Astyanax mexicanus: one gene and its partners. The protein of the gene in region 3 binds, or shares a complex with, the protein of the main gene of each other region. Links are inferred from orthologs where the notes say so. Each region holds a gene or a part of one and is shown on either strand. Other genes may lie near its edges. The genes, in order: ncapg, ncaph, smc2 and ncapd3.

Region 1 (7,265 bases), on a different chromosome or scaffold from region 3:
CCTCCCTTATCTGCTCCTCTGTGTGCTGGGCCTGCATCTGGAAGAGAAGGAACTATTATAAAACACTAGGGCTGGGTGTCCTCACTGAATTACAGAATCAATTCGATGTTGCTAATGTTAGCTTCTCTAAAACTATGGCATGTTTTGAAACTGCTGGTCTAGTGCATGTGGAACAGTTGAAAGGTGGAAGGGAAAATGCTAACACTAAATTGTTCCTTAATGTGACTGAGCTATACATTTCCTAAAAATGTGTGCACAACTTCTCTTGCAGGCTCTAGTAACATTGAACAAGAGAAAAATATAAAGCTTGTCACTAAAATTAGCTTCTCTAAAACTACAGCATGTTTTGAAACTGCTGCTCTGTTGCATTTAAGTTGGAATGGTGGAATTGTTTCACAAGTCTAGCAGACTTTAGAAACTTTAAGTGAGAAAGAAAATTTGCTCGCCAACGTTAGCTTCTCTAAAACTACAATACAGATTGGAACTGCTGGTCTGAAACTGATGGCCTATAGCTGCAGTTGGCTCTCACGCTCTGCAGATAAATAAATAAAGACACACAAGAAAATGGGTTAATTTTAAATACTGATCTTGGTTTATATTATTTTTATCGGTTCAAAGTCTAAAAATGAATATATATACCCACCCCTATTAAACACAATCGGACATGTTTTATAAGCCTTTACAACCTGCAGGTTTAGCACACACTCATCATAAACTTGAACTTAGCACCATGTGTCACAGTTCAAGATGATGGCTCACCTTAATGTAAGCTGCTGTTTGGTCATAGCCTTGTTTAACTTTCTCTAAGAGCTCCAGGTTCGTCTGTAGAGGCTTCAAAGCAGTCTGGAGATTCATCTGCAATTAAACAGATCATTTTATGTGCTGTTAATTCTTCACCTTTAACAGCATTTGAACTACATGAACTTGGTGAGGGTCTCAAAAATCACTGTGAAAAATGCAGCTTAAGAGTTAGATCAACTTTTAATTTGGAGTATAGTTTATTTTATTTCATATTTCACACTGAAAAATGTATATAATAACTTACCTACTATATGTGGCTGTGTGCCCTTTGCTCTAAATGCATAGCCATTGACAGGCATCATAAAAGTTGTTTCCCTCACTTTAGCAGGATCATTTCAGAAATTAAGGAAAAATACAGACTTTACTTCTTGGAAGTAAAACAAGTGTAGTAAAGTTCCTACCTTTATGTTAGTCACAGCTTCATCTACTGAACAGAAGCTGTGATTTCTGTGCATCTGTGAGTCACGGCACAGCAAACACATAGCCTGCTGATCATCCAAACAGAAGAAGAGTTTGCGGTTCTCTTTGTGTAGACCGCAGACCTCCTCATACCCTGCTGAAGATTTCTGACTGGAGTTCTCCCCAGACCCTGCTGAAGCTTTCCGAATTCTGCTCTCAAGAAAAGCCTCACACACATTCTTCAAGGCAAGGTTACGAGGAGGAAGTTCTCTTGAGGATCTTCTTCTACACACTGGACATTCCCGAGATCCTTTAGTCTCCCAGAACTGCTGCAGACAGCTTTTACACACACTGTGGCTACAGGACAGCAGAACAGGATCCCTAAAGATATCACAGCATACAGGACATGAAAGCTCTTCTTCTGAAAGACTTTTTTTAGCAGCCATGTCTTTCAGCTGCTGTTATACTGTTCTTCTGTAATGACTCTGTATGTAATGATCAGATTAGCTCAGCGAAGTATCAGCTGCTGTAGCTCCTCCTCCAGAATGCAGAATAGATTAAGATCAGAGTGACAATAAAAGATTCAATTCCTCCAACAGGTAATAGGGCCTGTAAAGATATAGATACATAGCCAGGGCTGATACCCATTTTATACTCCTCAACCAGAATGTTGGCACAAAGCGAAGATGCTATTATGCTATCCTATTATACTCAGCAAATGGGGTCTTGGCACAAACAAAACACAGAAAGATCCTCATATTATACCAGGGAGTTGGCACAAGGAGCATGGGAAGATACTCATATTATACTTAGCAACCAGGGTGTTTGCAACCGGGGAGATACCTATAGTATACTCAGCATGGTTGCTGTTGTTGGCACACAGGAAGATAGCTATAGTATACTCAGCAACCGTGGTGTTGGCACACGGGGAGACACCTATAGTATAGTATACTCAGCAACCGGGGGGTTTACACTCGGGGAGATAACTATATTATATTCAGCAACCAGGTTGTTGGCACATGAGGAGATACCTATAGTATACTTAGCAACCGAGGTGTTGGCACAAGCAGATCGGGCAGATTCTCTCACATTTTACTTGGCAAGGAACGCGTCAGTCATTCTTAAAGATAGCGAGAGATTCTCCTGATCTGCTACCTTCCACTACCAGATCAGGATAATCTCTCACTATCTTTAAGAAACTCCTGAAGCGGAGCTCTTCAAACAGCACTTACTTAACACCTCTAACAAACTAACTATTTCTAACCTCATTTCCTTCTTCCCCTCCTCTACTCCTCTATCCCATTATTTCCCTTTGACCTCCTTTAGGCCCTGTCTAAAGATGTTTTTTACCTTTAACTTCTATTACTTTTGTACTTCACTATTGTAAGTCGCATTGGACAAAAGCGTCTGCCAAATGTAATGTAATGTAATGTATGAATAGTAACATATTGATGTCTGGAACAGTGAATAAATTAATTGTTTATTTCTCCTGATTTTGGAGAAGGTTTGTTTAGTATCATTACAATTTATACAATCATTACAATTATTTATACATTTATTCATGCACTGTATTAATATATTGTTAAAAAACTATTATAGATTACTTTGCAAATTATTTTTATTACTTAAATCTTAACCCTGCATTTCCGCGAGTGGGCGTGTCTTGGCATGGGTGGTAGGCATGCTGAAAAACTACACTATCCACTACTTTCTGCCAAGCTTTATTTTTCTCCAAACTGCTTCTGTATTTGTGCAAAAATGCATCATATAAAAAGGAAAGAGCAAAAACAGCGACTATAAGCGGCAGAACCACACTGTTGCAGACGTCCCAAGTCTCCTGTAAGTTTTGGGAGTCTACTGCATATCAGTAATAGTTCCCTGATGCCCGCAAGTCAGATAAAATCTCCCGGAATCTAGAATGAGTGGCCCAAGAGTGAATACAAACGCGCTCGCAGGCAACACAGACTTTTTTCCCCAATCGTGTGTGGAAAAGCGAGGGGCGCGAGAGAAAGGCACTCCCCTTGTGTGAATATTCATAAACAGTAGGGTTCTGATTGCCCTGTTCACTGCAAAGAGTCTGAAAGTCAGCCAATCAGTTTTTTGTGTGGACGGGCAGTGTTTTTTTTCGTCCTAGATGGGATGCATTCAGTGAGTAAAAAAAGGAGCATCATGACTCCCACCAAATTTCACCTCTGACAACTCTAAAGTATATTTATATCTGGTAAAAGTAAAAAAATAATGAAATTCTTGCCCGCTGTTCAGTTTGTAATAGTGATTTTAGCATTGTCCATGGGGGACTAAATGATTGCAAAAGGCTTGTTGAGGTGAGTTACTGGGAGTTATCGAGATGTCTGCTGTTGGGGATATAAGTGAATACGGTAGGAATGAAAAATTCACATAGCAGAAGGAGGGGAGATCAGGTCTTCTTGTCTGTGATTCGTCCGAAAAATTATTTGTTCGGCCAATTGGTGTAGAATGTCGCTTCACCGTGTCATAATTAATATGCATACATTCCATAAAGTTGTGCCCTCCTACAAATTGTGCCCTCTCATAGGAAATAAATAGTGTTCGCCTGTTGTCGCCTGCCACCCTGATTTCTATGATTTTACAAAGACTATTTTACCAAAGCTTTTTTGTTTTAACTGAATGTATGATTTTTATCTAATAATGTAATAGATATTTTAAGATAATTTCACACTTATGAATATTAGCTTCTTACATGTTAAAAGATGTGTAAAATGAACGTAACACCTATCACAAAATGGAATCATAGAAGAATGAATTAATCCTGATTTAAAAATAGCCTTTGACTTTTTTTATGGAAATGAAAACCTAAAACTTAGTTTATGAGTAAACAGCTATTGCTGCTTTTTCTCAACAATACCTTTTTATTCTTTATTTCTTCTCATTAGACTTTCAAAACGGTTAAACGTTCAGAAAAAGGAAAGCAGAAAAGTTTTAATCAGATAAAATTATTATAAAGCCATTTTTTCTCCGCTCTGTCGTCAGATTCTACACATCGCGAGATTTGGGTTTAAACGTAGAACTGTTGGAGATATCGCGAGAGTTGGGTTTGAAAAGCCGCGCCGTTTGAAGCTGAAGAGGGAAGGGGAACAGCAGTGCAGCGAAACGCAGTAAATATTCGTTTATTATCGATTAAATTGCCCATATTTATTTGGTTATTGCGCACTGGTAATGGGGTTTAACGGTGTGTGGATATAGTTTAATGTGCGTTTTAAAGCCTTTTAGCCTAAGGACGCCTCTTTTATTAACTACGTTAGAGAGCTAATGTTTGTTTGGGAGCCGCATTAGCATTAGCATCCCGCTAACGTTAACCTGACTAACTAACGTTAACGTTACTCTGTTAATGCTAATGTGAGTTTTCGTTGTTGGGGTTCATTTACGACTGGAGATGATTTATAATACACAATTTTTAAGTTTATTTCAAGGTTTTCCTGAAGATTATCTTATTTGTATCCAAGTTTAGCTGGCATGTTTAAAAAAGAATTGTCCCTTCCACCTTCTGCAGTTGCATTCGGGTGCCTGTGGCATTACTACTGTCACTTCTTCAGATTTTTATGGTATCAAGTAGTTTTATTGTCAATACTGCATATGTACACTACATACAGAGAATTGAAATTACGTTACTCTCCTTCCTAATTTTACAGTTAAAGTTACAGATAATAGATATAATAAAAGAGAATGGGAGACACTATGGGTACAATACAGCAGGGACACAAATAGACATACATGAGACAAAAACAAGGTGCAGTAGTTTGGGGGAGAAATAGGTATATAAATATAAGTAAAAAAAAAAAAGAAATAGATATGTAGTATAAAAGAGTGGGAGACACTAGACATTGTACTATATGTACAATACAACAAGACACAATAAACATACGTAAGACGGAAGACAATAGTGCAATATTGATGGTGATTGAGATGGAATGACAGTATAAATAGTATATAACAGTAGTGCAAATATGGTATATAGCTTAAGGCTGGTAAAGTGAATAAGTGCGTAAAGTACTTAAAGTTCACAGTTTTTGGGGAATGAAATGAAATGAGTGCGTTTTGTATATCAGTAGTGCAGGTATTGGGTGTGTAGTGCAAGTCCGGTTGGAAGGGACAAGTACTTTGTGTATTGTAATGACCTCTACAAATGATTCGCGAATAAACCAGCCTTCAACTGTGTTTTTATCAGGGATTTTGGTAACCATGACTGCAGACAACGAGCTGCAGATAAAGGACGCTTTCCAGCGAGCTCAGAAGGCCCACAACAACAAGGCCAAACTGGTGGCCAGTCTGAAGAACAGATATGTTAAGGTAAAGTTATGAAGCATAAAGAAAACCTGATGTTAACGACAAATTCTTTGGGTACTGGATACTTCAGCTGCTGACGTCTGTTTAAAGTCCACAAATAAATTAAATATGAGGTTCTCAGTTTTTATATAAGAAACTTTAATACAGTGGGGCACAAAACTTTTAAATGAATGCAGTTGTCTTATTCAGTCTCTTTATCATAGGTGTATATAATGTAATAGTTTGCCATGCAGTCTGTTGGTGCAATATTTTGCTTATAGATTACCATTTGTGGCATAAAATTATTTTTAATAATTTTGGGGAAACAATGTCAATTGTAGTGTTCATGCTGAAAAGTGTGTTTGTGTGTGTTTGTGTAGCTTGAAGATAAATCTGAGTTCCATGAGGAGTTCCTTCGCTGTATGAAGTATGCTATGATAATCTACACCAGAGAACCGGCTGTGGAGAATGTGATCGATTTTGTTGTGAAGTTCACTGTGAGCTTTGAAACCCCTGTGACTGAAGAAGAGGAAGTGGAGGATGATAGTGACGATGAGGGCTCATTTCTGAACTTCCTGCTCAACTTCTTGTTGGAGGTAATACTGAGGATTTTGTTTCACCAGGTCCGGATTAAGTTTTGGAAATTAATTTATCAATCAGTAATAATGTAAATTGCCCCCCACAGTCTCACACAGCGAGCAGTCATGCGGTGCGCTTCCGGGTCTGTCAGCTAATCAATAAGCTGCTGGGCAGTCTGAGTGAGAACGCTCAGATCGACGATGAGATCTGCGAACGGATCCACGAGGCCATGCTGATCAGAGTGACGGATAAATACCCAAACGTCCGGATTCAGGCAGCGCTTGCAATGGCTCGCCTGCAGGACCCGAATGACCCCGAGTGTCCCACCATTAAAGGTACACTTCCATCTAAACACCACCCCCACTCATAATGTATTCCACCATTAACAAATCTAGTACTAAGATTGAGTTTAAATTATGCTGTTTGTGTTTAGCTTACATGCTGCTGTTAGATAATGATTCTAATGCTGAGGTCCGACGGGCTGTCCTGTCCTGTATCGCTCCCTCCGCACAAACACTCGCCAAAATCTACAAACGTACACGAGACGTTAAAGACAAAGTCCGGAAACTGGCCTATCAGGTACACTGCATCAGAACTGACCATTCCTCTCGCCAAGCTCCGCCTTAGTGTCTATTGGAATACTTGTATTTATACATGTTATACATGGTGAAGTTAGAACATTATCTAAGTAAGATGTGTGTTTTGTTTCAGGTGATGGCTGAGAAAGTGCACATTCGGGCTTTAACCATCGCTCAGAGAGTCAGCCTGCTGCAGCAAGGCCTCAATGACTCAGCAGGTGGGTGTGGGTGGGTTTTAAATTATATGTATTTATTTATACATGTCTGTATAGTGTATTTGGATTGTTTGTGGTCACCCCTTCCGTTTAACTCATTCAGCTATGTTAGGCTACTCTAATTTGCACACTGCTTGTCCATTCCCTGTAAAGAAACTTCCAAGAGACTATGACTCTCTTTGAGCTGTCAGATCTTCTCACCAGTTCTCCGAAATCTTGTAAGAAAAAAAGTTCGCTTAGGACAGAAGACGGGTTCTCTGACAAAAGCATTTTTTAAAATATAAAATATCATTCATTTTAGATGAAACAATGAATTAGCATGTGTCCCAATACCTTTGTACGTATAAGGTATTTAAACCTTGAAAAATGAAGCTTTATTTAAATAATTTGA
Region 2 (7,078 bases), on a different chromosome or scaffold from region 3:
GGGGGAGGGGGGGGCGGGGGTTGGGCGCGCAGGTTTTGTATCTGTATCTGACGGAGGGGTGGGTGCGCGCAGGTGAGAGCGTGTGAACTCGCTGAAATGCGTGTGTCAGTGTGACTTGAGAACACTGACTATAGATTACAGTGAGGTGGATTAAAAATCTTAAACTTATAATTGACTACACCTGTTGCTTTCCATTGAATTAAAAAAACATCTTTCTCTCAGATAAAGTAAACACAAGCGTGTTTCTGACTAAAATAAAAGCTTTTCAGGAGAGATATAAGTTATGTGTAAATATTTATAAGACAATACCCACATCACTTATCTAACCAGCCTGTACTGATTTCTGCCCCCCAATAATGCTTTCAATAACCTCTTGTAACCCCTGGGAGCCAGGGGTTACACTCTAATAGCCTTTAATAGTCTTCAGTAGCCTTTAAAAGACTTACCTGGCGGCCGTGGTGTGTCCACTAAACTCCGTAGTTATAAACATCCTGAGGTTAGCAGCGCGCTAACTGACCTGTTTATAATGTAATCCCAGCAGTGACTCCGTGTCGGCTGTTCTAACCTGCTGCTGTTAGCTGCTTGGGCTGAAAGATGAACTGTAGTGAGCTGTATTATCCGGTTAGTGGGGTTAAAACCTTTATTTGTTTACAGAAACAGTAAAAACGGACTGGCTGAGCTCTGTAGCCCGTGGCTGGGCTGTACTGAAGTAGTGACTGAGTGAAGAGAGCGGGGCTTGTGCTGCTGCTGCTAGTGGTTGGATGAAGAACTGCAGCTTCATGTAATGAGCAGTTTCACCAGCCATCCACACACAGCTCTGATAAACTGCTTGTTTTAATAGTGCACACTGTTGCTACCAAAAAAAGTCACTAGATGGCATTACCATATATATCTTAATAAATAATAATAATAATATTTATAATATTTATAATAATAATAATAATAATAATAATAATAATAATAAATATATTATTTAAATTTTATGAGGCATAAAATAATAACAAGAAAAAAAAACAAGAAAATCGAGAATCGAATCGAATCGTGACCCTCAAATCGAAAATGAAATCGAATCGAGGATTTAGAGAATCGTGACACCCCTATTAATTAGACAGTCAATAGCAAGCTCATTTAGCACAGAAAGCTTTTAGTTTTTAGTTAAGGTGAGCTTTTATCACTGCTGGTTATTTTGTTAAGCTAGCACACTGCCAAAAGTTGGTAATCCTGCTGGAAAATGAAATCCGCATCTCCATAAAAGTTGTCAGTAGCAAAGGGGAAGCATGAAGTGATTCTGTAAGATTTTGTGGGAAAACAAAACTGCACTGATTTTAGACTTGATAATAGAACACAGTGGATCAACACCAGCAGATGACAGACATGACTCTCCAAACCATCACTGATCATCAGTAAATGTTACATTTCATTTGTAAATCAAGGGAGCAGAGTCTGGAGGAAGAGTGGAGAGACACACAGTCCAAACTGCTCGAGGTCTAGTGTGACGTTTCCACCAATCAGTGATGGTTTGATATATTGGAGAGACATGTCACCTGCTGGTGTTGATCCACTGTGTTTTATTATCAAGTCTAAAGTCAGTGCAGTTTTGTTTTCCCACAAAATCTTACAGCACTTCATGCTCCCCTTTGCTGACAACTTTTATGGAGATGCAGATTTCATTTTCCAGCAGGACTACCAACTTTTGGCAGTGTGCTAGCTTTCTGTGCTAAATGAGCTAGCTATTGACTGTCTATCTATATAGTTAGATTAGATAACCTGTGTTTAAAAAAAAAAAAACATAGCTAAAAAAAATATGAAAATAGAAAAGGTAATTCTTCTATGCTTGTTTTCTACTTTGACAGAGTCTTAATTAATTTTATATAACAGCTCATTAGTGCTGCATTCAGCTGTTATTAGAACTAGATATTACTATGCTAGCATTAGCTAGCTACCCTTTCTGTGCTAAAGGAACCTTTTGTATATTGTCTGTATATAAATTCGCTGACACTTCTTTTCATTTCTTCGAGCTGCTACAACATGAAAAAATGCCCAGCTGTAGGATTAATACAGTATTATCTTGTTTTATTTTACATTAAAAAGCTAGATTTTTGTTAACTTCCTGTGCTAATTATGTTTATATCAAAGATAATACTCTAGCAGTTTATTATGTTAATTTTACGGATTGCAGTGGCTCTGTTAGCATATGCATTAGCCTACAATCTACCAGACAGCTTTCTTCTCTTTTATAATATTATTGGTCTGAAGTAAAAGCCTAAAACATATGAATTAACTGAGCTATATAATTTAGAACGATATTAAAATAACTTTTAATTTTAATGTATTAAGGAGGACACCAAGATGGATAAATAACGGATATAAAACTGCCCAACTAACTTACTAACTAACGTTATATAATCTGTGTTTAATTTAGCGAGTTGTAAAACATAACGTTAGATAGTAACGTTAGATATCTTCCTCAAACAAACGTTTAGCTAGAAAGGTTAACTAAGCTAACTATCAAGCTAGCGAGCCAACTTGTGTTCCAATAAATAAATAATAAATTATTTTAAAAAAAGAAAGCGTTGAGCTAAACAGCTTAACTAAGCTAAGCTAACTATCAAGCTAGCAAGTTAAACCTATCGCCGCTTCGTGTTCCAATAAACACCCGTGTGTTCTTCCTAAAACGCCTACCTAGTGCGCAGTACAACGGCCGTTAAGCGCCCTGGTTAGTAGACACACATCACTTATTGGGACACAGCCTGTATTAAACATCACTTCTTCCTAACGAACTCAAACAAATTCGCTTTTACTTGATTTCTGCGCTGCTCCAGTCCAAACCGGCGGATATAAACAGTTCAGAAAGCGCTATAAACTCGTAAAACAGAATATAAAGCACTAACAAAACTGAAAATATCGGCAAATTTACCTTTAATACGCTCCGGTCCTCTACTCCTGCTCTCCGGCTCCCGTTTGAAAATTAGCGCCGAACGGTTTACGTACGTCCTGCGTCGCTAGTGACGTAATTACGTACGACGCCGTGCGCTTCGGATAGCTGACCTGGGATCAGATGTAAGATATATGAATGTACTTAAGGCTGTAAGTTAAATAGGCTGTTTAATCTGATCCCGGGTCAGTTTTTGGATAAAAAAGTGCTTAAACGTGCTACGAAGTTTTAAAATGTGAAAATATCTACATTTGATATGTAATATTACTCAATATTAGTTGAGTAGTTCTTGCTTTTCATAATATGTTATGGAACATTATTCAAATAGAGCTATTCACTGTATACCTGTAACTCTACCTCCTCACAACTTTACAACTGATGCTCTCAAACACATTAAGAGACAAGAAATTCAAGTAATTAACTCTTGAAAAGATCAGCACAGCTGTTAACTGAAAGCTTTAATTACACGTGACTCTACCTCATAAAGCTCACTGAGAATGATGTGCCAAGATGTGCAAAGTTGTCATCTAAGCAAGAGGTGCTACAATGAAGAATCTAAAATATAAAACATATTTTGTTTTTTGTTTTTTTAACACTTTGTTTACTAAATAATGGGAAAAAATAATTTAAGATGTGTCCGAACTTTTGACTGGTACTGTAATTTGAATCTGAAGGTTGTTCAATGTGTACAAAAAGAGTGGACCAAAATAAAATGTAAATGACAAAATGCAAATGATTCTGTTATTCTATGTTATTCTAACTGAAAGCTACTACACACTGGTCTTTTTTGATCCACTTGTGTAAGGTCGATCTAAGGGTTAAAAACAGTGGTTTTATTGTATTTGTTTTATTTATTTAGATTATTTATTTACACGGCCTGAATATTTGATTTGTCTTAAAGTGCATTGCCCTTTAAAATCAATGTATAATTGCACTATTATGTTATTTACTTATAATTACAATAATGGCGTAAAATGGTCCTAAAATGCTGGGGTCCATTTGGGAAGCCTAACAGGGTATCAGTACCAACACAGTACACATGTACCAATGTACAAACCCTCAGTAAGAGCCCATCATGTCCACCTGGGTGCTGGCTGAGACTGTGTGAAGGTCTTAGATGCCACTAGGTGGCAGTAGAGTAATGTAAAATATGCTCTGTAATGATGTGATTCCACACTTTATGTCTTGCAGAGCATGATTTCCATCTATTTGTCTATTTGTCCATCCGTCCATCCATGTTCTTATCTGCTTCCTCCTGCCTGTCCTGGGTCACACTGGGTCTGGAGTTCACCTGGATCATTGGGCACAATGCAGGAGTTTCTGCTGGACTAGTGCCAGTCCATAAACAGGGTACAGCATGATCTAACTGCTTCAGAATGAGCCAAATCCTGTATTCAAGACCTTTGACTCAATCTGAGGGACCTGCTGGTGGATTATTGATGATTGAGCCCCCCTTTAAAGCTAATAATGAAGACGTTCAGATTCAGACACTGACCGGATCTCTCTCTCCTCCTCAGACTTGCACACGCTCTGATACACCAGGGCGTTGGAGCCGTGCGATCAGCCCGACTGCGGGAGTTCTGCCGCTGAATGCCAAAGAAAACTTTACAAGGTCAGGAATTAATAAGGGGTCTTGAACTGCAGCCAATTATCTCTCACTGCCGGAGCGTCAGCAGCATCACAGAGCTCCAGAAATACATCATTAATGTTCTGTTTCCTCACAGTCAAGCTACTCTCGGCCTCGCTCGCTTTATTAGCCGCATTAACGTCCGCTGGAGGTCATTGATGGCGGCCAAACCATCTTTCTGGCTTTGCCAAACATCCACTTTAGATAATCAGCTGAGGTACATGCCAGTTGCACCAGATGAACATAAAAAAAATCTGATCGTAGGTTTAGAGTTTGCATCCATCTTAAACCACACACATCTAATCAATTTTGTTACTTTAAAAAGAAACATAAGTAGAAGAGGAACTGATTATAAAATTATACAGTGCCAGTTTGGATGCACATTCTCATTTAATGATTTTCTTTATTTCATTATTTAATGTATTTTTTACATTGTAGATTAATTTCAAGACATAAAAAAAATTAAGGGACACATATGGAATTACGTAGCAAACAATAAAACATGCTTTTGTTCTGTTCCTTGTGCTTTCTGGTCTGTTTTCTGTGTTTCTGTTTTGTTTCTGTACTGTTTCCTCTTATGTCTTCATCTCAGTGTTTCCACCTGTTCATTTGTAACTCTGCCTCCTCGTTACCTTCCCCAGGTGTTTCCTATTTCCCTGTGTATGGATATCCTTGTGCTTCCATGTTCCAGTGTTCATTCTTGTGCGGGTTCCACATCTGTCAGGGTGCAGCAGGGAGAAACAAAAGGAGAACGTAAATGCAAGTTACTAACAAACAAGAAATACATCAAAAATGAACATTGGGATACACGTAAAACGCTAAGAGAGAAAACAAAAAAACATAAGCAACCTGACCGATGTGAAACACATAAGCACAGCACAAGGAACAAGGAATAGGACAAGTACATGACACTGACCTAAACCTAAACTTAGGCTACGTTTACATTGCAAGCCACATTGTTCAAATCCAATTTTTTGCTCAGATCAGATTTGGCTGTCTTGACGGTTAAGGTCTAGGAGGTGAAAAAAGGCCAGGCGGTTTGCTTTTGCTGTTTTTTTGAAGCTATAGCTACACTGAAAGATGCGTAGGTATGAGAGAGAAGCACATAGCCCATGCATAAAGCAAAATGATGCATAAATTTTCAATTTGGCTGTTCACATTCATGTTGCATGTCAATAAATCGGATATGTATCTGATTTAGAACCACATATGAAAGTGACTCAAATCTGATTTGAAAAAATCAGAAAAAAAAACTGAGCCACATTGAGCAAAAAAAAAAAAAAAAAAAAAAAAGGGGCACTTCAGCCTGGTAATGTGAACGCAGCCAAAAAGTCAAAAAGGTGTTTTTAATCAATGGGTTGACAATCAATTGGGTGTGAGTGGGCAGAGCCTGTTTTATTTAAAGAACAGGAATCTATCCAAAGTCTACTCTTCACAACATGTTTGTGGAAGTGTATCATGGCACGAACAAAGGAGATTTCTGAGGAGCTCAGAACCAGACATTATAAGCAACCACCTGGCAACAACACCATGCTAATCAGTGCTAATCGCTACAGTGCTGAGAATAACCACCCACCACCCCAATAATTATAATGATAATAATAATAGTAGTAGCTGCTCTGTGGTGGTTTTCTCTCCTGTGTGGTCCTGAATATTGAAGAACAGCGTGAAAGGAGGATAATAATAAAGTATAGTCTGTACAAGATCTAAGAACCTTGCATTTATCGGAGGTAAATGGAATAAAGCTCAGTTTTTTTCTAATATTTCTAATAATCAATTGTCCCACTGTATTCAGTCCACAGCTGTACTCAGTTTTATATTATTATATATCCCCTATCACTAGTGATGCCCCAACACCAGAGGCGTGAAGACAAGCACATGCCTCCTCCGATACGATGTGAAGACTCCACCTCTTTTGAAATGCTGCTGATGCTGTAGCATTGCTGAGTAGCATCACAGCGCTAACGCTCGGAGGAAAGCGCAGCGACACGGTTTCCGATACATCAGCTCACAGACACAGCCTTGTGCTGATCTACATCACCCTAGGAGTGATGAGGGGAAAGAGTGCCATCTACTTAACCCACCCAGAGAGAGAGAAAGGATAACTTTGCTCTCTCAGGGCTCCGGCAGCTGATGCCAAGCCGCATGACCGGAATTCAAACCAGCGTTCTCCCAATTATAGTGGCAGCGCTTTAGACCACTGGATCACTCCCAGATTCTGAAACACTGAGATAAAAAGACATTTACTGTTTGACAGACTGAACACAAACTTCACCTGAGTAAATGTTCTAAAGAGGCTCCTGGGGAAAAAGCGCCTCTTTCCATCAAACAGGGTTTATCTGCTCTGCTGCACCTTGGCTCAAAAAGGAGTTTCCCAGTGGAGGCTCTCTGGTTCTGCTGATAAATATATATATATAATGTGTCATTATTGCAGCACGAATCCCCTGCTGCAGAGAGAAGCTGGGAGGACAGTGCAGCACTAAATGTGGGAGCAGAGATTTCATTAATGAGATTAG
Region 3 (7,664 bases):
TGAAGTACAAAAAAAGTATTTCCTATAACAGCAGAAAGTACAGATTTGTAGCATTTAACCAGCAACTAAACGTACATTATCACAATTCTGTATCACTGTACTAATAAATTACTAATAAGTTTCATTTGAAAGCCAGACAGGGTTGGACACATATTCAGTCGGTGATAATCTTTATAGTCTTTATCATTTTTATGGTATTATGGCTATTGTACCTCAATATAAGGTGCAGCTCCAGTGACAAGCTTTGTACTCTTTTTAGTTTCTACCATAAAGAAAAGCTCCAGCGTAAAGATCTGCTGGATTGCGACACAACCAAGAAGATCTTCAAGCCTAAATCAGTGATACCCTTCAGCGAGCTGATGTGTGTGTAGTGTAAGAGTGTGCAGGTAACAGGGTTACAGGTTGCTAACTTGTGACTCTGACTGGATTCCAGCTGGGAGGGAGAGAGAGAGGGAGGGAGGGGGGTGTCTTCTTCTTTTTCCCTTTTAAATAAATTGAAAGCACTTTAGCTGAGTCTCAGAGGATCAGCACTTCCCCTCACCACCAGCAGCCTAACAGACCCAAACCCGCTTACCTGGCGTCAGCTCGCTCACATCTAATGACAGCTGCAGAGGAAAATATCGATTATCTTTTTACAGAATAATAAGTGTGCGTGTGTGAGATGGATGCAGTGCGCATCTATGTGAATGAATTTTATAGACATAAATTATGCATTTCTAAATCAAACTCAAATTGAATATTTACGGTCGATAAAGTCTCTGAGTGGTCTCAGAGCAACTGGTCTTTAATTGCCTTTATAACAGATTTAAACTGAAAAGCCCTTTGGATCACTATTGATACCTTCAAAAGAGAGAGAGATAAAGAGAGAGAGAGAGGAAGAGAGGGAAAGGGAAGGATAAAGAGAGAGATGAGGGGAGATAGAGAGTAAAAGAGATATAGAGAGAAGCAAAGAGAGAGCGAAATAAAGGCAGTGGTGAGAGAGAGGGGGAGATAGAAGAGAGATATAGACGATGGAAAGAAGGAGTTAAGGAAAGAGAGAGAAAGATATAGAAAGTGAAATATAGAGAAAAGGAAAGAGAGAAAGACAGAAAATAAGAAAGAGGGAAATAGAGGGGGGTGAGACAGAGAAGAAGCAAGAGAGAGAGGAAGAAGGAAAGAGAGAGATATAGAGATAAGGAAAGAGAGAGTTAGTTTTCTCAGTTATCTGTTGGATCTTCATGTATTATTTGAATTGATTTTGGTATACTGATCATTGGTGTATTGATCACTGATATATTGATCAGTGGTGTACTGATTGAGAGATGTCCTCTCTGCTGAAAGAGGAGATGCAGAGGGTTCTGTTCGGACCGGAGGAGCACAGACTGGTGGAGTTTATCGAGATCGAAGAGAAGAAACGAGGACGGCATTTCCTCTGTGTATCCGGTAAGAATCTAACTAACAGACACATTTCACATAAATCACACAAAAATCTTTCAGTCCAGTATTTTAATCTGCTTGTATATAAGGTAAATCTTCATAGTAAGAAATCACCCAAAGTCTAATTATCTATTTGTATAAACTCAACATATGTGTGTTCTGTGTGTGCATATATATGTTGTGTGTGTGTATTGTATATATGTATATATGTTTGTGTATTATGTGTGTGTGTGTGTGCAGTATCTAAAGGTAAGGAGGTGCAGATCACAGTGGTTCGCTGTAGGAAATCTCAGAAGTCTGGGTATAAGAAAGCTCAGCGAATAGGATTGGAGGACAGCTATGTAAAGACGGAGGTCTGGGCTCTGCAGGAACTGAGGGTTCTGGATGGACGAGATCCTGATATAGTGAGTTAATGCCAGCACTGATTCATCAGCAGCTACACCATTACAGACCCCTGTATTCTTGGTTGGTGGGAAACTTGCAAATTCAGCAGCGTATCAAATATGTCTTTTTCCCCACTGTATGTGTCTTATTATAATAATTATATTTCCCCACCTTCCTGTATCTCCCAGATACAGTGGCTTGAAATAGTATTCATACCCCTTGAACCTTTCCACATTTTGTCACCTCACAACCACAAACTTAAATGTATTTTATTGCGATTTGACAAGTGATAGACAAACACAAAATGTTGCACAATAATACATTTTCTATTTTTGGATGATGAATTGTACAGTGCTCATTGGGATGTTCAAAGCTTGAGATATGTTTTTGTAAGCTAAACCTGCTTTAAATTTCTTCTCCACAACTTTATTTTCTGACCTGTCTGGTGAGTTCCTTGGTCTTCATGATACTGTTTGTTCACTCTTGTTCTCTAACAAACCACTGAGGCCTCAGTTACACACAGCTGTACTCTCTTAACTAATTAATTGACTCTGTTGCGCTGGATTGTATTTAGGGGTTTTAGAGTAAAGAGGGCTGGATACTTTTGCATCATACTTTTTTTATAATCATGTATCATTTTTTCATTCCACTTTGTGTTTGTCTTAAAATCAGTTAAAATCTCAATAAAATACATTTAATTTAAGTTTGTGGTTGTAAGGTGAAGAAATGTGGAAAAGTGTAAGTGTAAAAGGGTATGAATACTTTCGCAAGCCACTGTAAAACAAATCCACTGTAAATATTTCAAACACAGACAGTATCAAATAGTGTATAGTCAGGAATGTTCATACAGCTTTAAACTTAAATACAGCATTTGAAAACTGTATGGATTAAAGCCCTGCAGCACAGTGAGCTCACTGATTGGCTGAGAGGGCAGGGAAGCCGTATTGGTATAGCATGATTGATGGTGTCTGAAGGGCAGTTAAATTAAAACTGCATTTAAATTCACATCCTTCACTGTATGATCTCTCTGTTTCCTCCGGCAGGACGATCCCTGTTTCCTGATGCACTTTGATACAGTGCGTCCGGTGAAAGCGGTGAACTGTGCGGCGAAGTATTCCCTGGCCCGATGCCTCCTGGCTCTCAGTGAGACCCATCAGCACAGCGAGCTCCGCATCCACAACTTCGACTGGACCTACGTCCAGCCCACCTCCATCTACTCCAGCAGAGGCGACTGCATGGTCCTGATGAGGATCTGCTTCTACGCCTTTAACCTGGTGTGTCTCACGCTGTGTCCCGTACCTGTTTAGTCTCACTATTAACAGTATTTCTGAATCACCTGCAGCTGTTCTAACATCTCACACTCAGGTAAACACTGAACACCTCACTGCAGCTGACAGTCATTTCATCCTATTTCAAATCTCTTTTTTTTTTACAAATAAGTTGATTTTCATTTATATCACTGTTAACATTTTTTATGTACAATTGATTTTATTATGTTTACCTTGTAGACAGAATAACCTTATTATTTGCAGTGTTTTAAAAGCTACAAATAAAGTAAATAATACTTGTAAATGCTTGATGAATGTTTGAATATTGTGTTTTTATATTTTATTGTAACAATCCATTTGTCATGAGTATTATTTTCATAATAACTGCCTTTAATTCCCTTCATTAATACAGTATAGTCATGAAGTCTCCTTAATTATCTTGTTCCCATGTCTTATATATCTTGTTCCAATGCATTATCATATAATTCCCATGCCTTAATAAGTTGTGGTCATTTTTTTTAACAAAATGTTACATTAGGGGCTATGCACCTTAGCAAAAACATAATATGCATAGACGCCTCATCAACTAAGGCCGTCTATTGGAGCTGAAGTTCAGCGCGGCCGCCCCCAGTGCATTTATAAGTACTGAGGAAGGTGTTTAATAAAGCTATAATAATCAGCTATCATTACAAATATGTGCTTTCATGCTGAAATACGTTGTATTATGCTCTCTAACAAAGACAGACCTATGGTATGGCATATTAATAAGTGTATAAATAAATGTACTGTACGCCTTTATGCATATATATAAATAAAGTGTGTATTTATGTATTGTTCATATTTCAAATGAACAATAAAACTTGTTTTTTTGTTTACTTTGTGTATTTACTTCATGTATGCATGGCCCGGCTTTGAGGATCTGAAATTCATTTAATACAAACTGTAATAATTATAATAATAATAATAATAATAATAATAATAATAATAATAATACAATCTAACAATAAATAAAATAATACCTTTTTAAAGTCTGACAACTAGTGTCATAACATAACATAAAATTAAAAGTTGTATTATCAATTTATATTATTATTAAGGTGACGATGCTGGATTACGCTCCAGCCTGTAATGAGGCATCTATGTACAGCTCTGGAAAAAAAATAAGAGACCACTTAAAAATGATGAGTTTCTTTGATTTTACCAAATTGAAAACCTCTGGAATATAATCAAGAGGAAGATGGATGATCACAAGCCATCAAATCAAACTAAACTGCTTGAATTTTTGCACCAGGAGTAGTAAAGGCATAAAGTTGTTCAAAAGCAGTGTGTAAGACTGGTGGAGGAGAAAATGCCAATATGCATGAATATGAACTTTTCTTTGCATTGTTTGAGTTTTTTTCTGCAAATAAATGCTCTAAATGACAAAATTTTTATTTGGAATTTGGGAGAAATGTTGTCTGTAGTTTATAGAATAAAACAACAATGTTCATTTTACTCAAACATAAACCTATAAACAGCACAATCAGAGAAACTGATTCCGACCTGCAGGTGGCGGCACACTCCGGATATATCACTCACAGAGCGCAGCAGAGGAAGAGCGGGGGGGCGGTCTGGCGCCAAATTCAACATTTGAAGCTTTCCGGCGGTTATAGATCAGCGCTGCTGCTGCTGTCTGTTACTATCGATTATCTATCGATTATCTATCAGTTACTGTAGAGCGTCAGTTATAGAGTATAGAGTATCGGGGCGCGCAGTGAGCAGTACAGCGGGGTAGCGCGGACTTTACAGGAGAGATGTATATAAAGTCTATAGTGCTGGAGGGCTTCAAGTCCTACGCGGAGCGGACTGAGATCTCCGGCTTCGACCCGCTGTTTAACGCGATTACCGGACTGAACGGCAGCGGCAAGTCCAACATTCTAGACTCCATCTGTTTTCTGCTCGGAATCTCCAACTTATCGCAGGTAAAAACCGATTAAATACGGAGCCTGGGCTAACTGTGCTAGCGTTAGTTTATATGGCGACTTAGCAAGGCTAGCTAACTGAGCCAGCATTAGTTTATACGGAGAGTTAGCTAGGGTAGCTAACTGTGCTAGCTTTAGTTTATAGGGAGAGTTAGCTAGGCTAGGCTAACTGAGGCGGTGTTATTTTGTTTAGTGAGTTAGCTGGGTTGGCTTAATGAGCTATCGTTAGTTTCTATTGAATTAGCTAACTGAGCTAGCGTTAGTTTGTAGGTACAGTTAGCTAACTGAGCTAGCGTCATTTTATGTGGAGAGTTAGCTAGGTTTGCTAACTGAACTAGCGTAATTTTATGTGGAGAGTTAGCTAGGTTTGCTAACTGAGTTAGGGAAAGTTAGTTAGGCTAGTTAACTGAGCTTGCGTTAGTTTGTAGGGAGAATTAGCTAGGCTAGCTAACTGAGCTAGTGTTAGTTTATAGGGAAAGTTAGCTAGGTTATCTAACTGAGTTAGTCATTTTATAGTGAGGGTTAGCTTGGCTAACTAAGCTAGTTTTAGTTTATAGTGAGGGTTAGCTAGGCTACTACTGCTTATAGTAATAATACTAATATTGAATATATAGATGAAACAATCCCTAAATTATTAAAGTATTTGCTTCTTGTTGAAACTTGCGTTTTTTTGCTGTACCTTATATTTGACCGTATTGGGTTTTCATTACACATTATAGCTCTAATTTTACCTAAGCCTAATTAAATTATTATTGTTTTTATATCTGCAGGTCAGAGCGTCTAATCTTCAGGACCTGGTGTACAAAAATGGGCTCGCTGGAATCACTAAAGCCACAGTGTCCATTGTATTTGACAACTCCAACAAGAAAGAGAGCCCACTGGGGTTTGAAACCCACGATGAGATCACCATCACCAGACAGGTCAGCCTGCAGGCCTCTCTTTGCTTTATCTGTATTAGTGAAGCGTGTTGTGATAAGTCTGGTGTTTAATTCCTCCTTTGTGTGTGTGTGTGTGTGTGTGTAGGTGGTTATCGGTGGAAGGAATAAGTACCTCATTAATGGAGTGAATGCTAATAATATGCGAGTCCAGGATCTTTTCTGCTCAGTTGGATTGAATGTGAACAATCCTCATTTTCTTATTATGCAGGTATGTTTTTATGTTTTTTTTTTAAAGATATAGCTGGTGGAATAAATTATTATTAATTTACAGGATATTTCTGTTTTGGTAACTGTTGTTTTTCTTTTAGGGTCGAATCACCAAAGTTTTGAACATGAAACCACCAGAGGTAAGTGGTACCACGAGAGAGTTAATATTTTCCAACACTGGTTAATTGGGCCAAGAAACATTTGACCAAATACTGGATTTTTTTGCTATTTATTGTTTTGCAAAATTAAATAACAACATTTTTCTTTCTTACTTTATTAAAAATGTAATTGTTCTTAATGAATTAACAGTTTCTATGTTATTGTAATTGAATCATATAAAACATTTCAGGTGCTAAATAGTTGCTAAATAAGTATAAATCATCCCTGTTCGTGGTTTTGAAAACTGGTTTGTTATATAATTTATTCTTATGTAAATGTAATATTCTTGTGTAGATTCTGGCCATGATTGAGGAGGCTGCTGGTACCAGGATGTATGAGTGCAAGAAACTTAGCGCTCAGAAGACCATCGAGAAGAAAGATGCTAAACTGAAAGAGATTCAAACGGTACTTGTGTTTGTGTGTAGCGTGTGTGTTTGTGTACTGTGTGTAGTTTGTGTTTGTGTAGTATTTTATTGCTTATATAATGGATAAAATCTTCTTTAATCACAGATCCTGGAAGAGGAGATAACCCCTGCTATGGAGAAACTGAAAGAGGTCAGTCACAACACTCCCAGCACTACCAGTTTAGTAATATATTAAACCAGTTATTCTTAAACCAGTTATTCCCAGTTATTAGTTTGTCCATAAAGCTGAAATGTTTGGTCTGTTTATTTTCCACTAAATTCCTTTTGAATAATCTAAGTACATAAATTTAATGTAATTGGATTAATTTGGTATTTTTTTATATATATTTTTAAATGTTTTTCATTAATCTGATAATCCTAAAATGTTATACAAGGCATTTAAACACAAAATGGTCTTACATTATGGGAGGTTTTATTGTAAATTTTATTACATTTCTAACGTTGCTGCCTTCGCAGTTTAAACTGCAGTGATGCAGAGTCAGGGACACATATGGACAGGCAGTAAAATTAATGTGGGTAGCTGCATAGGGCGCTCGCACAGGCTAAGCCAAAGGCATGTTGAATCACCGTAGAGGTTTAAACTGCCTTAAGACCCCTCTGGAACTCTTCTCCGAGGCTTCGTTTTTCACTTCTAGAGTGTGACAGCACCAGTCACAATGAAAAGCTCCAGCCACAGCTTATATAGATGAACATGAATAGTAACTCAGGTACAGCAATAAGTCCCACTTTTACATGGGTCACATGATCAGTCGAGCGTGCAATGGAAACCATCTTACAATGTTGATACTTTTTCAATAAATTTAATTTCTGTCTGTTCTTTCGTTCCGTCTGGGTGGGATATTTATTATTATATGTATTATCATGGACGTGTAATCAGCTCTAAAGATTCAGCATCAGTTATTCACT
Region 4 (7,430 bases), about 16 Mb from region 3:
TTGCGTTGCCCTAAATCAGGGGTTCTTAACCCTTTTCAACCCTTTATAGGATGTACATTTATTTTTATTTAATAATATTTACAATTAATAAATGCTTAATAAATATGTGCCGTTTTAAATTTTCAATGGTGATTTTAATGTTTTTTTTGTGTTTCAAGCAAAAAAATGCCTTAAATATATAGTTTTCGTTAATATGGTGACTAACCAACAATTTTTTTTTTAAAATAATGCAAAATATTGCTTATTATTGTTATCGTTGAAATCATCTCTGGCAGGAGGTTCGATTTGACCTCATAATATTAATTTAGGTTGGCAGATTTGTAAGCAGATTTTTTGTTTTACAGCAGGTAATACAATCAATCAGGAAAGAAACATAATTTTATACATATATTTCCAAAAAGGAAGTCTTAAAATATATAGTAATAGACAGCAACATGCTTAGAGAAAAATGATTTAGAGTATAAGCTTTGTCAGGTCAAACGCTTGTCCCACTTGAAGAAACATGAGAACAGCTTTATCTAAGGAGCTCCTGCTGCTGTTTCTTACTGTAAAATAGAACAACAACAGCAAATGACCAAAGTTTTCCCAATTATTAAGAAAAAGAGAGGAATGGAATTACACAATTGTTCCACAGCTTGGAAAAACTTTCCTCTCATTCCCCAAAGAGCCTAGAATCAGTCCTGAATGCGAAATCCTCATTCAGTCATAACCTATCCCTAAAACTCTGTATACGAGGTGCAAAAAAACATCAAGAGCAGTAACTTTAGCCCTGTATCAACATGTTATTACTGTAGCATGAAAAATAATTGTTGTTTTTTGTATTTTCTTTCTCTTTTAAAAATCAGAAAAAGGTCCTGAAAAAGTATTGTCTGAGGTTTAGTATCGAATTCAAAGTATCGCATCGGTATTGAAAATTTAAAAACATTACCCAGCCCTATTCACAACCCCCAAGGTTGTTAAGAATCCCTGCCTTAAATATTCAGTATATTTTTATTAAATATTTCTGCAAGTAGTTGATTGGTTAGAAGTTATGAAGTGAAATCAGCTGTATGACCTGTTTGCAGCGCTGGCTGAAGGCGATGGCGGCGCTCTGGCGTGGGAAAAGCCTCCAGACGGAAGAGGGCTGCCACGGGCGAGACAGGCGAGGTTTATATGGAGAGCAAATAGGAGCAGATTGAAAGGACTGAGCTCTCTGCTCTACAGACTTCACTCTATCCAGCCACTTTCCCTTCGTCATCCTGACACTGTAGCCGGAGATTCACCTGCAAAACAATAAAAAAAAAAACATTACATATATATTATAATATATAGTATGATATATATATATATATACATATATATATATATGTATATATATATATATATATATATATACATATATATATATATATATATATGTATATATATTATATATATATATATATATATATATATATATATATATATATATATATATATATATATATATATAGCAACTGCTTAGCAACACGTTAGCAACCACCACGGATATCATAGCAACCACCTAGTAACACCCTAGCAACCACCATGGATGCACATGGAAACATGTAATCCGATTTATGTAAATACATTACTTAGCAACCACCTACCAACCTCTTAGCAACACCATAGCATCACCTTAGAAACAACAAAGCAACTACCATGGATACCATAGCAACACTTTAGCAACCACCTAGCAGCACCTTAGAAACTACATAGAAACCGACATAAATACCATAGCAACAACTTAACAATCACCAAGCAACTGCTTAGAAACTACATAGCAACCAACATGGATACCATAGCAAGAACTTAGCAACAACCTAGCAACCGCATAGCAACACTTTAGCAACCACCACAGACACCATAGCAACCACCATGCACACCACACCAACACCTAAGCAACCACCTAGCAACTGCTTAGCAAGACGTTAGCAACCACCAGACACCATAGCAAGCGCCAACAAGATAGCAAAACCTTAGCAACCACTTAGCACCACTTTAGAAACAATATAGCAACCACCACGGATAACATAGCAACACCCTAGCAACCACCATGGATGCACATGGAAACATAATCCGATTTATGTAAATACATTACTTAGCAACCACTAAGAAACTAAATAGCAACAAACATCGATACCATAGCACCACTTTAGCAACCACCTAGCAGCACCTTAGCAACCAACTACATAGCAACCAATACATATACCATGGCAACACCTTAGCAACAACCTGCTCAGCAACACCTTAGCAACCACCAGACACCATAGCAACCACTTAGCAACAACTTAGCAACCACCATGGATACAGTAGTAACACCTTAGCAACCACGTAGCAACTGCTTGAAACAGCTTAGCAACCACCACAGACATCATAGCAACCACGTAGCAACAACCTAGCAACCGCTTAGCAAACACCACAGCAACACCTTAGAAACAACATAGCAACCACTTAGCAACCACCACAGACACCATAGCAACTACTTAGTAACCACCACAGACACAATAGTAAAACTGTAGCAACCACCACAGATACCATGGCAACATCTTAGCAACTACCAAGCAACCGCTTAGCAACACCTTTGCAACCACCTAGCAACTGCTTAGCAGCAACACCTTAGCAAACACCACAGACACCATAGCAAGCGCCTAGCAACCACTTAGAAACAACATAGCAACCATCCTGTGTTTTCTTCAGGAAATGCACTTTTCTTGTTAACTCTAATATTAATGTTACAGTTGAGTTAAATAGTTGGCGAGTTTAGCAGAGTTGTTTTGGACCTGATACTTGTGAGTCAAGAGAGATAACGTTAATTAGTTACAAGGTAACTGTGCGTTGGCTTAATTATCTCGCGAGAACTAGTTTATAGAACTGGCGTTAAAGCAACAGGACTTTTGATAGCTTGAGCTAGGCTAGCTTAGCTAAAGATTGAACACTCACCTGTTAACCTGAGGATTTACAGTCTTATAAACGCCTCTTTTCACCGAACCAAAGTCTTTTTCACATGTTCCAATCAGTCCTCGCGATTCTTTATCCTCTAAAACCCGGTTTTTACAGTTTCTCCGCTTTTCTCAGCGCCTCGCTTCTTCCTAACCAAACTTTCAAACCCGCCGCGGTTTGTTTTGATGTTCGCGGGGCCGCGGGGCACGCCGGGAAACCCAGCTGTTCCGCGGCTAGGGCTGCGGCTGTGTTCCGATTGGAGGAGGAAGCTCCCTTCCTTATACTACGCTCCCTATCTAGTGCGCTGTGGTCTCTCTGTCTCTGGCTAGCCTTCAGCTAGTGCACTAGTACACAGAGAGAAGTGCCCTAGCTCAACAGCGCTTGGGTTTGGGTTTATTGGGACACCGCCCATCTCCGCCGTTACATCAGAGAATAGTGAGTGCGCGCCGCTAGAAGGAGCCAGCGAGGGAGACCAAAATGAATGGGAGGGAATGGATCTAAACGGCAAACTTAACACAATTATTATAATTATACATATTAATTTACATTTAAATGAATCTTTTTGTAGTATCTTCAGTTGTTGTAGTATAATATTCCTGAGATTAAATAAAAAAATTGTCATATTGCCAAAAATATATTGTTACTACAAAAATACCCTAAAATATTGTGATATTATTTTAGGCCTATATCACCCAAGCGTTTTTTTTAAGTCTTTTAAACATATAACGTGGTATGTTTTAATTACTTGAGAGGAACACATTTCAGCTATTAATGAAAAAAATATGTTTTAGAGTTTAGTGCCTCTTTAATATCGGATAATATCTTTGAGTGTAAAAGAAGAGGTAAGATTTAGGGGCACATTGAAGATCATTCATGCCCCTCTCACCCAGCAGGAGAAGCAGAGAAGGTATACAGAGGAGATTGCCCACTTTAGCATGTGTTCAGAGTGTGTTTGCCACTAGGGGGCGCTCCCTAGTGAGACAAAAATGAATGGGTTTTAATGGAGCAAATGAGAAAAATCAGAATTTATTAATGTTTTATCATTTTTATAATAAACAATGCCCTCATTTTATATAAAAAACACAAAATGTATTGTTTTAGCACTGTATAAATAATTTTAAAATATTTTAAACTCCAGTTATACACTTTTTAAACCGTCTCTCTAGCGCGCCTCACCTCACCAACCAATCAGCTCACAGCGATAGCAGTAACGCTAGCGTCTTTACGGCTTAAAACCTGTTTACTTTAGCAAAATAAAAGTATTAAAGTAGGCTTTCTTTACTGCTTTTGTAAGGTATTTTAATTTACTATAAAACTGTTAAGAAATATCCCTGAGGAGTAGTTAGTTAATATTTTTAATTTGTGTTTTTAGCCGTTTAGCTCCATTCACGCTCATTCATTTCTGACTCACTCGCGGGCTCCCCCTAGCGGTTTGCAGTCCTTTACTGCAATAAAGTGGGCAGGCTCGCTATAAAGCGGCTGTGGCGGCAGCAGTTGGCGGGTTGGCGGGTTGATTCAAATGAAAGATGGCGCTGATGCGGGTCGTGGAGCTGCTGAGACTCAGCGCGGTTTCTACAGGTAATTAATGCGTTTATAATGAAGAGAGCGGACACAAAATAATGTTTAAGACCTTTAGTATTAGGTACTTTAGTTTATACGAAAAAATACAGCGCATTTGTTCGGAAAGTAGCTCATTAGCTAGCTAACCTACTTAGGTTAGGTTGCCGGTGTTGCTAATCTAACTTACGATAACCAAAACATTAACCTTACCTAGCTAGGGTTAGTTAAATTAAATAACGTTAGTTAGCCTTTATTCTCGTTCAATAAATATCTTTCTACCCTCCACAGACTGTTTTAAGAAAATGCATTAATATGTGTCTTTTAGAATCGAAAATTGGCTTAGAATTCACTTGTAACGTTACTCATGAATTGACCGAAGCATAAATAAGAATATCTGGGTCCTGAATAGGGTTGAGAGGTTTATAGAATTTGATTAATTTTAATTGACACCACTTATATAAATACAATTGCATTTTACATTTCTTACGTTCATTCTTTTATGTACATTTCAATATCCACTATGATAATTTACGTCTGTGGAAAAACAAATGCGATTAATCGCAGTTAATAGAATTAATCTACAGGTTTATTGCTGTTTTCACAGAAGTTAAATTGGAGAATGTACCTTTTTATTTGATCTTTAACTGCGTATAGAAGCTTCCAGAAAGAATTTCACTAGCGTTTGATAACTAGTAGGGGGTGAGTGATAGTGCTCTAAAATAATAATCACAATATTTAAGGGAATTTTTTGTGATAATGATAATTTTGGCGATATAAAAAATCATTGACAATTTTAAAATTGATTTCCGAATCATATTAAAGTTATGTTTTGGTTTCAGTTTCATACATTTAGCAGAAATAAGTAGTAGAAAAAATAAACAACTGATATTTTGGTAATTATCATGTGATCTTTGTGGTGTTTGGATGCTTTGAGGAACTTACAGGATGGTATAAATGTGTAGAGAGTCTTATAAAAGCCCTATTTGGACAGGATTAGTTTCTCAGAGGGTTCTGGGGTCATTTTCTGGTTTATGGGGGGGTCCTCTGTGATTTTTATTCCTGTCCAGAACGACCATGTAGCTATGTGTTTTCTCAGACTCTGTCCTCTGCGAACATTACAGGCTGAAGTATCTACTGTTTTTCGCTGAACTCCGTGGCCCTCCGGTAATTTTAGCCCCGTCCGGACGCAAATCTGAGTTTTGTCACTTTGCGTTTAATAAAATGGCTATTTGTCCGCTGCCGCGCACTGTAGTTACATTTTGGGAGCTCGTTTCCACGGAGATGCATGTAAAACATGGAGAGTGGAAATGGAGGAGCTACTGAACATGATGTTATGTGATCGAGAAAGCCTAAAAACTCACTGGTCGTCCTGTTTTTACAACTACAAGAGTTTTATCACTGAGTAGAAGTATTAAATATTTTTCACAGACGTCCCCCTGAGAAACTAATACCGTCTAAGTGCTAATTCAAATCAATAAATCAAGTTTTTAGAAACAGTATGAATTCTTTTTAGTTGAACACTGGCCAGTGTTCTCATGGCAATTAGGGGTGTCACGATTCTCTAAATCCTCGATTCGATTTCATTTTCGATTTGAGGGTCACGATTCGATTCGATTCTCGATTTTCTTGTTTTTTTTTCTTGTTATTATTTTATGCCTCATAAAATTTTAATATATTTATTATTATTATTATTATTATTATTATAAATATTATAAATATTATTATTATTTATTAAGATATATATGGTAATGCCATCTAGTGACTTATTTTGGTAGCAACAGTGTGCACTATTAAAACAAGCAGTTTATCAGAGCTGTGTGTGGATGGATGGTGAAACTGCTCACTTACATGAAGCTGCAGTTCTTCATCCAACCACTAGTCGGAGCTGCAGTCGCAGCTCACTACTTCAGTACAGCCCAGCCACGGGCTACAGAGCTCAGCCAGTCCGTTTTTACTGTTTCTGTAAACAAATAAAGGTTTTAACCCCACTAACCGGATAATACAGCTCACTACAGTTCATCTTTCAGCCCAAGCAGCTAACAGCAGCAGGTTAGAACAGCCGACACGGAGGCACTGCTCGGATTACATTATAAACAGGTCAGTTAGCGCGCTGCTAACCTCAGGATGTTTATAACTACGGAGTTTAGTGGACACACCACGGCCGCCAGGTAAGTCTTTTAAAGGCTACTGAAGACTATTAAAGGCTATTAGAGGTTATTGAAAGCATTATTGGGGGGCAGAAATCAGTACAGGCTGGTTAGATAAGTGATGTGGTGAAACTGTGACTAGCGCTGTCACAGTGATGTTTATTAACGTCATTAAAACAGATTTTGTCAGGTATTGTCTTATAAATATTTACACATAACTTATATCTCTCCTGAAAAGCTTTTATTTTAGTCAGAAACACGCTTGTGTTTACTTTATCTGAGAGAAAAATGTTTTTTTAATTCAGTGGAAAGCAACAGGTGTAGTCAATTATAAGTTTAAGATTTTTAATCCACCTCACTGTGATCTATAGTCAGTGTTCTCAAGTCACACTAACACACGCATTTCAGCGAGTTCACACGCTCTCACCTGCGCGCACCCACCCCTCCGTCAGATACAGATACAAAACCTGCGCGCCCAACCCCCGCCCCCCCTCCCCCGTTGGACAGATAAAAAACAGTGATCACACTCCCGCCGACACTCAAAACTTGAGAGCCCTGTCTATATTTCTATAAATCCGTTTTCAGTTTCTCCTCAGTGGTTGAAAGGCAGCTGTCTCTCACACAGCAGAACTGAGGGCGGGGCTGCGCTATTAAATGAATAGGATGCGCTGTGTTGGTGCCGGGCCATTTGCATAGCGCGCTGCGCTATTTGCGGGAGGGATCGTCGATCCTCTTTTTGACTTCGATACTCGAGACCATGACCTCATTTCGATTCGATTTCGA

The links.
Region 1: smc2 (region 3) and ncapg share a complex: the UniProt entries of both Homo sapiens proteins name them as parts of the condensin complex. The link is inferred for Astyanax mexicanus from reciprocal best matches to the Homo sapiens genes SMC2 and NCAPG.
Region 2: smc2 (region 3) and ncaph share a complex: the UniProt entries of both Homo sapiens proteins name them as parts of the condensin complex. The link is inferred for Astyanax mexicanus from reciprocal best matches to the Homo sapiens genes SMC2 and NCAPH.
Region 4: the proteins of smc2 (region 3) and ncapd3 are in contact, whole or in part, in a cryo-EM structure (PDB 9F5W), measured with the Homo sapiens proteins. The link is inferred for Astyanax mexicanus from reciprocal best matches to the Homo sapiens genes SMC2 and NCAPD3. Residues at the interface, in NP_001036015.1 of Homo sapiens: Arg112, Ala122, Asn123, Asn124, Thr125, Arg126, Leu218, Lys222, Arg225, His229, Trp940, Asn942, Ala943, Glu944, Phe948, Arg981, Met985, Arg986; in NP_056076.1 of Homo sapiens: Asp31, Met72, Ile80, Pro127, Gly128, Ala131, Phe135, Pro137, Asp141, Lys235, Gln237, Gln240, Leu1121, Asn1196, Asn1200, Pro1203.

What each region holds. Positions count from the first base shown.
Region 1 is NC_064424.1:33,596,513-33,603,777, forward strand, and holds the start of ncapg (condensin complex subunit 3), read left to right. Parts: upstream 1-4,259; 5' UTR 4,260-4,334; intron 4,335-5,404; 5' UTR 5,405-5,418; coding exon 5,419-5,526; intron 5,527-5,882; coding exon 5,883-6,098; intron 6,099-6,187; coding exon 6,188-6,416; intron 6,417-6,514; coding exon 6,515-6,660; intron 6,661-6,792; coding exon 6,793-6,877; intron 6,878-7,265. UniProt on the Homo sapiens protein: Regulatory subunit of the condensin complex, a complex required for conversion of interphase chromatin into mitotic-like condense chromosomes.
Region 2 is NC_064429.1:6,691,548-6,698,625, reverse strand, and holds the start of ncaph (condensin complex subunit 2), read right to left. Parts: upstream 3,020-7,078; 5' UTR 2,918-3,019; intron 1-2,917. UniProt on the Homo sapiens protein: Regulatory subunit of the condensin complex, a complex required for conversion of interphase chromatin into mitotic-like condense chromosomes.
Region 3 is NC_064432.1:23,820,370-23,828,033, forward strand, and holds the start of smc2 (structural maintenance of chromosomes protein 2), read left to right. Parts: upstream 1-4,663; 5' UTR 4,664-4,861; coding exon 4,862-5,029; intron 5,030-5,799; coding exon 5,800-5,949; intron 5,950-6,052; coding exon 6,053-6,175; intron 6,176-6,275; coding exon 6,276-6,314; intron 6,315-6,627; coding exon 6,628-6,738; intron 6,739-6,843; coding exon 6,844-6,888; intron 6,889-7,664. Other genes in the region: exoc1l (exocyst complex component 1-like), read left to right, coding at 1,302-1,422, 1,657-1,820, 2,844-3,107. UniProt on the Homo sapiens protein: Central component of the condensin complex, a complex required for conversion of interphase chromatin into mitotic-like condense chromosomes.
Region 4 is NC_064432.1:8,247,254-8,254,683, reverse strand, and holds the start of ncapd3 (condensin-2 complex subunit D3), read left to right. Parts: upstream 1-4,414; 5' UTR 4,415-4,466; coding exon 4,467-4,518; intron 4,519-7,430. Other genes in the region: primpol (DNA-directed primase/polymerase protein), read right to left, coding at 1,055-1,237.